Kluyveromyces lactis: one gene and its partners. The protein of the gene in region 3 interacts with the protein of the main gene of each other region in a biochemical or structural test. Links are inferred from orthologs where the notes say so. Each region holds a gene or a part of one and is shown on either strand. Other genes may lie near its edges. The genes, in order: CWC2, CEF1 and PRP19.

Region 1 (2,898 bases), on a different chromosome or scaffold from region 3:
GGAGGAAGATCATTCTGCCATGGCTAAATTGTTCGATTATGTCAAAAAGAACGACTTCACCGGAGAAAATTACATCTCAAAAGAAGCTATGTCGAAATACAATGTTGACAAATCTTCATACAAACCAATTATTATATGAAAGGACTAGACTTTTTTCCTTGAAATTTTAGAGTCATGCAATATGAATTAGAGTATTTAACGTAAATAGTTACAGTGTGCTAGCTAATAATGCATTTAGGATTCCAGGTCAATCCTGGAAATACCCAATGGTCTGACGATTCATGCGTTCTTGTTTGAGCCTGTGCCTTGTCTTCCATTTTTTCGGATGTCTGATTCAAAATTATCGTGTTTTTTGATGAAGGCCAAACCGTAGACTGACGAAGTTCAAGTAAGTGAACTCGACAAAACAACTTCGACATAATTTGAAAACCAGGCATTGATAGCTTTTATATTCATTTCAAATATTTGCAATGTCAGTAAAACAAATCTGAAATCCGCTAGATGTTGTTCATGACGGCAACCAGTAATCCAAAATATACCTAATCTGGAAAAGTCAATGTGTCACATGACTTCACGAAATCTAGTCTTCATCAGATGAATATTGGGTTACCAAAGGTAAAACCGACGATGGTTTTGAAACTGTTATATTTGCAGCAACGTTGGTATTGGTAATAGTCACTTTCCTTTGTTTCAACTTATCTAAAATAGTCTTATCTATGATTGCATTCTCCCTAATGCTGAATCTTTCACGACTGTTCGCCTGCGAATCTCTCACTTCGTTGATTTCTTCAACTTTACGTTTTTGATTTACAGTGCCTTCAGTACTAGCCACTAGTTGTTTTATAGCTTTCAAAGTCTCTTGGGTTTGTTCTTCCAATTCTCTCTTTCGTACAGCTGGATTAGGATCCTCGTTCGCCCATTTCACAAGCAACCCAGTTCCCTCCTTCCTTAGATCCCACTCTTTATCGGTTGGTATTAATAGAGTCTGATTGCCCATTGCTTCCTTAGTAAATTCGGAGTTACACTGTAATTTGAACTTGACAAAGGCACAATTCTTACTCTCCACGTATCGAACAGAATCCAATTCTCCAAGTTTCCCGAACTTGTATTTCACTCTATTCTCAATCTGATGTGGTTTCAAAGTTTTGTTGTTGAGTGCCCCTGTAATACCACCCACGTATAAGACACGGTTAGGTTTCTTGAAGGAACCTACCCCACCCATATCATCTCTATAATCAGCAAATTTCTCTCTTCCAAAACAATCTAACGCAGAGGAATGCAAAGCTAACCTCGCAAAATCATCTGGCTCTGGAATATGATGCAAGTACCGACAATTTTTGCCTAAACAGCACATTCCCTTAGCGAAATACAAACAGAAATGAATCCGACCCTCTTTATCACCTTTAGTGATACCAGAATCGTTCTCGGGATCAAGCGAGTACGGTGTGACGAACCTAGTGGACCCACTTTGCCCCTGTGACCATTTGTTGTACCATACGTTGAAAGCCAAACCCGTCTGAGGCGGTACTGATGAAGGTAGGTCAGACTCCTGTAACTGAACCCTTGCTGGTCGGTTCTTCCAATCCCCAGTCATAATATATTGATGACGATGACCTTAATATTTGGCAATTTGCCAAACCAAGTATTCTTTAATGACCTCGAACAAGCAAACAGTTTGAACCGTCCAATTTATGCAACAACAGATACCGTATTATAACGGTGAAAACTGTATCTTGTCGAGCACACATCTTCCATGTTCATCTCATCGCAGGCCAAAGTGTTTTCAATAAACTTCAAGGTTGGAACTTTTCTTTAGTGAAAACGATCATGATCAAAAACAAAATGGAAACGAAAAAAAGATAAGTCTCCCGGGGGCGAGTCGAACGCCCGATCTCCAGATTACAAATTGCTTTGTGTTTTCAAATTACAGTCTGGCGCCTTAAACCAACTTGGCTACCGAGAGAAGTTACTTGTGTGTTGTAATTTTCAATGATGCTATAACCAAACTTCAAGGTTTACTAAGACTACATTGCCTGACATTAAGAGGTATATGGAGTATTTAAACCTTTTAAAGTATTTAATTATACAAGTGAAGTGATCACAGGACAATAATGCCCTGCACCTGGAACAGCTAATTTCTCCTACAGAGTTTAATCATTGTACATATTGTTCGCCATTTAAAACTCCAAGTTTTGTATGAAATTAAAGGGACTCATCCAGAATAATGTTAGGCGATGGACATTTCTACAACTGCTATGTACCACCTCCGAAACAAGACGCTGGCACGATATTCTGAAAAGTTGTTTATGTGTCGCATGGATTAATTTATGTCGTCCCTACTGTAATTGATACTTTATTTCTTTTTCATGTTACTCGGTACTGGAAAATTTTCATTTTTTGTTAACAAAAAGAAGAGCGATGAGTATGAGAATTGAACTGTTGAATGAATCGATGAACCTATCTTGCTGATGTGATATTGATTCCTTTCTCAATCAATTGCTCGCTCTATTTGAACCAGGGGAACAGTGAAGAACTATACATAATAACAAAGATGGCCAAGGATAAGAGTGTATCAACAGAAGACAACTACGAAGCTAGACTTCCTGCCGTTCTACCATTTGCAAAACCTCTAGCATCAAAGAAACTGAACAAAAAGGTGTTAAAGACCGTCAAGAAGGCTTCCAAGGCTAAGAATGTCAAAAGAGGTGTCAAAGAGGTTGTCAAGGCTTTGAGAAAGGGTGATAAAGGGTTAGTAGTCATTGCTGGTGATATTTTCCCACAAGATGTTATTTCTCACTTGCCAGTTTTGTGTGAAGACCAATCTGTTCCATATATCTTTGTGCCCTCGAAGCAAGATCTAGGTTCTGCTGGTGCCACCAAGAGACCTACTTCTGTTGT
Region 2 (3,606 bases), on a different chromosome or scaffold from region 3:
CAAAGCCAGAATTGAATAATCCCCTGTGTTCGAAACATCATCTAGACCCATCACTTTAGTTTGTGTTCTAGTGAGTTTCTTCTTCAACGCTGGAGAACCTGGTTCAGAAAATGAAGAGTCAATGGTAGCCTCACTATATATTGGATGCCTTTCTTGGAACTTCGTTAATGCAATAGAAACGCAGTTTTTGGCTGTAGCAGACCATTGGTGAATGCTTCCCAAGTTTGAGATCTTTGAAAAGTCTAAGCAACCTTTCAAAACCAAATCTGTGTCATTAAGTTTAGTGTTAGCAACTTTGAAGTACAGGGTTACGAAGTTTTTGAACAATTCTAAAAACTCAGAGTCCCCACTTACAAGAGACCCATCCAAATGGTTACAAATAGCTTCTAAAACTCTTTCAATCAAACCAACAATAGTTGGATCATTGTTAAAATTGTTGTTGTTCAACACTAAAGTCATAATGTGGATGAAATCTTTGATGAAAATATTCATGTTTTCATTACAATTCTCGACGATTTTAGCCAGTAGCTCTAGAGTGACAGAGACATTACCGGAACGTCTTCTGTTCAAATCCGTTGTCGACCTCTTCACAAGGTAACTGCTGACCTTTTCCAATTTTGGACGTCTCGAATTAACATAATATAACAAGTACGAAGTCTCTGACCCTTTTGGCTTCTTATCGGGAGTTCGGCCTGGTGGATAACACTGATTCACCAATTTCTGGTGCTTAGGGGTGAAGAGAAAGCCCATTGACACGGATCGTTGGAGTCTTTTGGATGGGTTTTATCGTCGAACCATCAATAGTGTTGGCGATTTCAATATAGTATGCAATTTCTAAGTTTAAAAAATGTCTTCGAACAAAAAACCCTTTTCCAGTTTTTATTGCGTAATAGAGAGCCAATCATTATATAAACAAGGGAACTAGAAAAACTATAGCTGAAAAAGAACATAATAATGTTAATGATGATCATTATTTAATAAGAGAAGAACAACATATACTTTCTCATTATCTGTCATGTGTTTTCTGAAAGAATTTCAGAGTTTGTTGTATTCTAATAAAATATAGGTAGTTTAAAGACCGAAGTACTGACTGGAGGAAGTCACAAAAGAAACCAGTATCCAGCATTGCTGAAATAATACGAAAAAGGTACCTATGCTCTTGCGAGTAAAGCAATATGTAAACTATGTGTTCGGATACAGTTCCCTCTTTATTCGCTGACATTGTTTTATTTCTTTATAACACTGTGTAAATCTAGATAATCCAATTTTGGGATTGGATTGAAAATAAAATTGACATATACTTGGTGGAAACATAGGAAACTAATTAATAATAGTATCAGCTAAAGCTGTAACGTTGGTTCAAAGGGAAGTTAATCAAAGGCGGTAACCACGTACGATGGCTCCTGTTCCGATTTATGTCAAAGGTGGTATTTGGACGAACCTTGAGGATCAAATATTAAAGGCGGCTGTTCAAAAATATGGAACACATGCATGGAGTAAAGTAGCTTCGCTTCTACAGAAGAAGAATGCCAGGCAATGTCAATCTCGTTGGAATGAATTTTTGAATCCCAGTCTAAACTTCAAACCATTCAGCCAGCAGGAAGATGATAAACTACTAGATTTAGCGAAAAGAATTCCAAACCAATGGAAAAGCATCGGAGAAATGATGGGTAGACCTGCTCAAACATGTATCGACAGATATAATATCCTCCTGGCGATTGATAAGGATGATTTAGAGCTTGCAGCAACTACAGGGGTACAGATCGGTGAGATCAACCCAAATAACGAAAGCTTACCAGCCAAGGCTGATAAAGATGAGCTACTTGACGAGGAGAGAGAAATGTTGGCGGAAGCTCGTGCCAGGCTATTAAACACTCAGGGTAAAAAGGCTACTCGTAAGATAAGAGAACGTATGCTAGAAGAAAGTAAGCGTGTTGCATTCTTACAGAAGCGTAGAGAGTTGAAACAAGCGGGCGTTGATAGTAAAATCAAAGCTCCCAGGAAGAAATATTCTTCGCAGATGGATTACAACGAGGATATTGCGTATGAACAGCAACCACTACCGGGTATATACGATACCTCAAAGGAGGATGAACAGACTGAGAAGCTACTCAAGAGTTTTGAGAAATTGGTAGAAAGGAAAGGTTTACTTGACAGGAAATCTGATGAAAAGAAAACCATACCACAAAAGAGAAGGCAAGGCGAACAAATAACGTCATCAGTAACAAAATTAGATTCTGTACTAACTGATGAGTACAAGAAACCTAAACTTGAGCTTACTCCTGCTACTTTAAAAGGATCAAAACGGAAGATAAACAAAACAACATCTATACTTCATTTATTTGAATCATTGCCTTCTCCTAAGAACGATTTTGAAATTGTATTGGATGATTTAGATGAAGAAATGGAATCCACTGATGCTTTTAATACTGAAAGTTCGTATGTTAATGGTAAATATCCCCTAGAAGCCTTAATATCTTCCACGGAACATCAATCGGAAAACAAGGCAATGGAAATAATGGAATACATACCGACAGTATTCCAAATAAAAACAGAATTACAGGTACCCAGTCCGATAGTAGATCCAAAGAATGAAATTGACCGTGAATTGAATCGTATAATCTCAGCAAAGGAGAATGGTAACCCCATTTACAATTCCACGGAAGTAAACAATTACTTAGAAGAGATCATTAATTCTGCATCCACCACCGAAGTGCCCAGCACTGTCTTACATCCCAAGTTGGAAACTAGCTTAAAAACTATAACACCGGCTACGGAGCACGAACTGCTCGGCATGGAACGAAAAGTGCATGAACTGCGAACAGCGCTTGAGGATTCCGTCAAGTCTCACAGAGAGGCTGTTTCACAACTTTCACAAGATTTTGAAGAAAAACTACATCCGACAGTGTCAGGCTTAGCATACCAATACTACACTGACTACATGAAGTACAGGAACGACCATAAGACTATGCAAGAAGAGACACAATCTCTTGCGGAACAGATCAAACTTGCCCAGCGTAGTCAATGATTACCCGGACCCTTCTTTTTGAGTCTTCCTTCCATAATCATGAAATTTTCAAATTATGAACTTAAAGATGAAAAGATTTACGAAATTGCAAACTTTAAGAACAATATGAGACAGTTAGCAATTGCTCTGTGTGGACATAACAATTCTCCCCTTTATTTCTACTGGAACTCTTTCGAAGCCATCACAAAGCAAATACTAATTCCCGGGCCACGATGATCAGGTACACAGAAGAAGAACTTTTACAATTAAGACCAACCGAACCAGTTAAACCAAACTTCGACGTTGATGAATTCAACGCTATAATTGAAAAAGTGAAAGAAATCCAAGAAGCACATGAAGAAGAATTTTCTCACTTCAGAAGAAGATCTTCTCACCACCATGCTAAACCAAAATTCAAGCATTTGAAACCAAAAATTACTACCGATGAGGAAGGATGGTCTACACTAGAAACTGCTCCAGCGGTCAGAAGAAAGTCTGTGGCTGAAGAAGAAGAACCAACCATTGTCATCGCTCAAGAAACATTGAAGGTGAAGCCAAACAAACACATTTCATCCTCAAGACCAGCTGATGCGAGGGAT
Region 3 (3,562 bases):
AGTTCATGAACCAGGAACCTGGTTCCGATGAAGAAATAGGAAAATTTTGCCAGGAGCACTACGGTGTCAGTTTTAAAATAATGAAGAAGTGTAAAGTGAATGGTGTCAATGCTCTTCCGCTATATAAGTACTTGAAAGATCAACAACCGCGAATGTTTGGGTTCACGTTCGTTAGATGGAATTTTGAGAAGTTTTTGATCGATCGCTCAGGGAGAGTCCATGGACGGTATTCCACGTTGACGAAACCGAAAAGTATGAAGGAAGACATCGAACAATTACTAAAACAAAAAAGCCAACTACAATCATGACTAGCAGATGGTAAAGAAGAGTTCTTCGGGGTAATCCCTTTTTCATATTCTGTAATGCCATCTTCTTTCCCGTTTATTCACTTGCAAGAAAAACACAAACACAGTTCGATATTTAAAGAGCATGATTTTCACTTCTTTTTACGATGAAATCACGTACATATATGGGGGCGAGTTCATACATGTTCATTTTTCGACGTATTATCGGATCATATATTTAACGACTCTCACCATCAAATCAGTGATTATTCTAATAATTACAATTTTTATACCTTATTTAGGACAAGTATCATATATCTACTTCAACTCATATGTTATGCATTTATTCTCCGAGATGACGTTCAAGAAATATCCTTGATCTATTTTTACCAATGTCATGGATTCTGCTGTATTTGTTTCGATCGGAAGAGTAGATTTTTCGACAAATGACTGTCCCTTAACATACTCATACCATTGTACTTGTGAATTACCCATGCTTACGAAAAAACCTTTAGCTGTATCGTCCAACTCCACACTGATGATATTCTCAGCGAAAGAAAGTGGTTCCATTGCCAAGGTGCCTGGATCCTTTCTTAAATCGTAAACATTCAAGTCAGAATCACCAAAGACAAACATCCAATAACCGTTCAAACCAAAGTCTACTCTTTTAGCTGGGAAGCCAGTTGAAAATTTAATCGGATCTTTTGTAGCAGCCAATAGGTTTATTACATATACACCTTCGTTTTGGTTACCAATAGCAAGAAGAGCTCCATCTTTATGATAATTCACAAATTGAACGGAATCGTTCAATTTAACTTGTGAGATGGTGAACAGTGCTTTTTTGGTAACTTCATACCCATATATTGTACCTCTTTCAGTTACGAATAAGAAGTAAGAATCCGATATTTGATGAGGATAAGCCATAAATATCACTGGCCCATCAGTTCCTTCCAAAACTTCTTCATACAACAAAGACTTTGTATGAAGGTCATACGCTGCTAATAGTCCCTGGGTGAAGGTGTATAGAACGTCTTTAAACTCCACCAGATATTCTGTGGCTTGTGACACATCAAGAATAGAATCTTGAGGTCCAAACACAAAAGCTTTGTCATTATCTTTTACAACAACAGATCTTTCATTAAGATTGACATGCTGATTTCTGCTAATCAAATCAATTTCAGAGAAATCTGTCGATTGAACGACTGAAACGTTGGAGAAGTGTTGTAGCTTTTTCTTAGACTTTTTGGAATTTGTCACGTACTCTTGAGATTTCGTCGATAATTCTGAAGTAAAGTCTGATAGAATTTGGTCTGAGTTCTGGAGTTTATCAATAGTTCCATCATTTTCGACATTCGAGGAAGTTATTGCCGATGTAAGTTCTGCTAATTCTTGCTTCAGCTGATCTCGCTCTACAAAAGCTTTTGCTGCCGCTGATGCAACAGCGTCAAACCTGTAAAGTGTATCACTGAGATTCTTTTTACAAACGTCTAACTGCTTCCTTAATTCGAAATTCTCGAGCATTACTGCATCCCATTCTTTCTGCAAAGTTGACAATAGACTTGGAATGCTATAGTTGTTTGCGATAGTAGACGAGCTCAATGATTCTGAAAGTGATATCTGCTGTGGAGTCGCATTGATTTCAACCAAATCTGTTTTTTGTAATGGATCATCCGTTATGGGATCTGTTCCTTTCTGTTCAATATACTGTTCGATTAGATGCTGTTCAAATATACATTTGGAATTAGGTGAAAGAACAGCTTTTATAGGTGGTTTCCCACTAATTGCACAGAACATAATTAGCGTACCTCAATTTAGCCAGTCCTTAAGTAGTTTCACCAGAAGTAAGCCCCAAGGTTCTCCTTTTTGAAGCCATTATCTAATTATGTATATCGGTGCTTCATCTTTCATGTAACATTTATGTTGGTTTTCTAATGTTAAATAAAAATGCTTTCGTTTCTCTTTTGAACATGCAAAAAAATACTGGATGAAGAAATGACTTTATTTAACAAATCAACTCACATCTTAGTTGGCTGGTTAGAACGCTCCAACAGGTTAGAATACAATCTGCAATATTCATAGAGCTCGAGATGTATATAGTATTTTTATATATATATATGCTAATTAAAGGAAAAGAAGATATACTACATACAAGAAAGACACAAATATAATGCTGATATATCATTCTTCTATGAATTCTTCCATTTCCTGCCAAGCCCAATTTCTCCAGATGTCTCCAGCCTGCTGGTAGATGTCATCAAACGAGTGTGCAGTCTTATCGTCAGTACCGACCTCTATCATCATATGATTTGAAGAACTTGGTCTAATTCCTGAAGCGTTGGATTCATCTGTGTCTGTCGAACTTCCACTAATGTCATCATCCTCGTACATCTTCTTGAAGTTGTAGTCATCGAATTTTGATATCAGTGGGACATTATTTAAGAACTCGGTGATCTCTGTTTCCTCAAACTCTAAAAGTTTAAATTCGTTATGTTGCATAATGGCAACATATATGAAAAGTAACTCCGCATGAGGGTTCAAGAGCGAATATGGAATCTCATTTTCTTGTGTTTCTGTAGTATGACCATCGTCCCCATATTTATTTCTTCGTATCAATTCCCGAATGACATCTTCATCTTGGTTCAATCCATTTTGACCGAGCCTTAACGACATCAAATCTGGGAACCAAAACTCATCATGTTCACATTTGCAAATCTTATGGAAAATCTCTGAACTCAGTTTCAATTCAGGTGGATAAATGCTTTCAAATGATTTATGGTTGTACTCGAGATAATAGTTGATTGATTCAGGACGTGGTCTCCATCCGAGCAACACATCCCATACTCTTCCTCTATCCTGACGATGCAACACTCTGCAACCACAACATTTGATCCACCAATACAACCAAGTAGCCTTCTTGGAACCTTGCAAAGCGCCTTCATCAGTGATGGGTTGATACAGTTCGGGTAACGTCTTGGCGAAAACCTTGAAGAACAATTGCGATTGTTGATTCAGATTCCCACTCTTAAGTAGGTGATAATTAGATTTATCAGGTTTTTCGTCTAATGCTGGAGCATGAAACAACACTAATACTAAACGCTCATAGATAGCGGCAAAATCAAACTCGGTATCAGGTAATTGATTCAGTAGTTCATCAGGAATTGGATATTCCTCATATAAATGTCTCAGACAAGAGTTATGATGATGGTGTTTCCGACCTGCCAAGACCAAATCATCGTTATTCTTCAAGGGACACCATTCTGCCAAGCCAAGAGCTATCC

The links.
Region 1: the proteins of PRP19 (region 3) and CWC2 form a complex in vitro, tested with the Saccharomyces cerevisiae proteins (3 studies listed by BioGRID, with this or other methods). The link is inferred for Kluyveromyces lactis from reciprocal best matches to the Saccharomyces cerevisiae genes PRP19 and CWC2.
Region 2: the proteins of PRP19 (region 3) and CEF1 form a complex in vitro, tested with the Saccharomyces cerevisiae proteins (2 studies listed by BioGRID, with this or other methods). The link is inferred for Kluyveromyces lactis from reciprocal best matches to the Saccharomyces cerevisiae genes PRP19 and CEF1.

The regions. Positions count from the first base shown.
Region 1 is NC_006039.1:1,336,680-1,339,577, reverse strand, and holds CWC2 (active spliceosome conformation promoter CWC2), read right to left. Parts: upstream 1,595-2,898; coding exon 581-1,594; downstream 1-580. Other genes in the region: mRNA splicing protein PRP28, read left to right, coding at 1-139; snoRNA-binding protein NHP2, read left to right, coding at 2,552-2,898. UniProt on the Saccharomyces cerevisiae protein: Involved in the first step of pre-mRNA splicing. Required for cell growth and cell cycle control. Plays a role in the levels of the U1, U4, U5 and U6 snRNAs and the maintenance of the U4/U6 snRNA complex.
Region 2 is NC_006039.1:634,773-638,378, reverse strand, and holds CEF1 (Cef1p), read left to right. Parts: upstream 1-1,396; coding exon 1,397-3,028; downstream 3,029-3,606. Other genes in the region: EFR3 (Efr3p), read right to left, coding at 1-750; CAF20 (Caf20p), read left to right, coding at 3,241-3,606. UniProt on the Saccharomyces cerevisiae protein: Involved in pre-mRNA splicing and cell cycle control.
Region 3 is NC_006040.1:326,874-330,435, reverse strand, and holds PRP19 (E3 ubiquitin-protein ligase PRP19), read right to left. Parts: upstream 2,079-3,562; coding exon 603-2,078; downstream 1-602. Other genes in the region: KLLA0_D03905g (glutathione peroxidase), read left to right, coding at 1-308; OCA5 (Oca5p), read right to left, coding at 2,463-3,562. UniProt on the Saccharomyces cerevisiae protein: Probable ubiquitin-protein ligase involved in pre-mRNA splicing.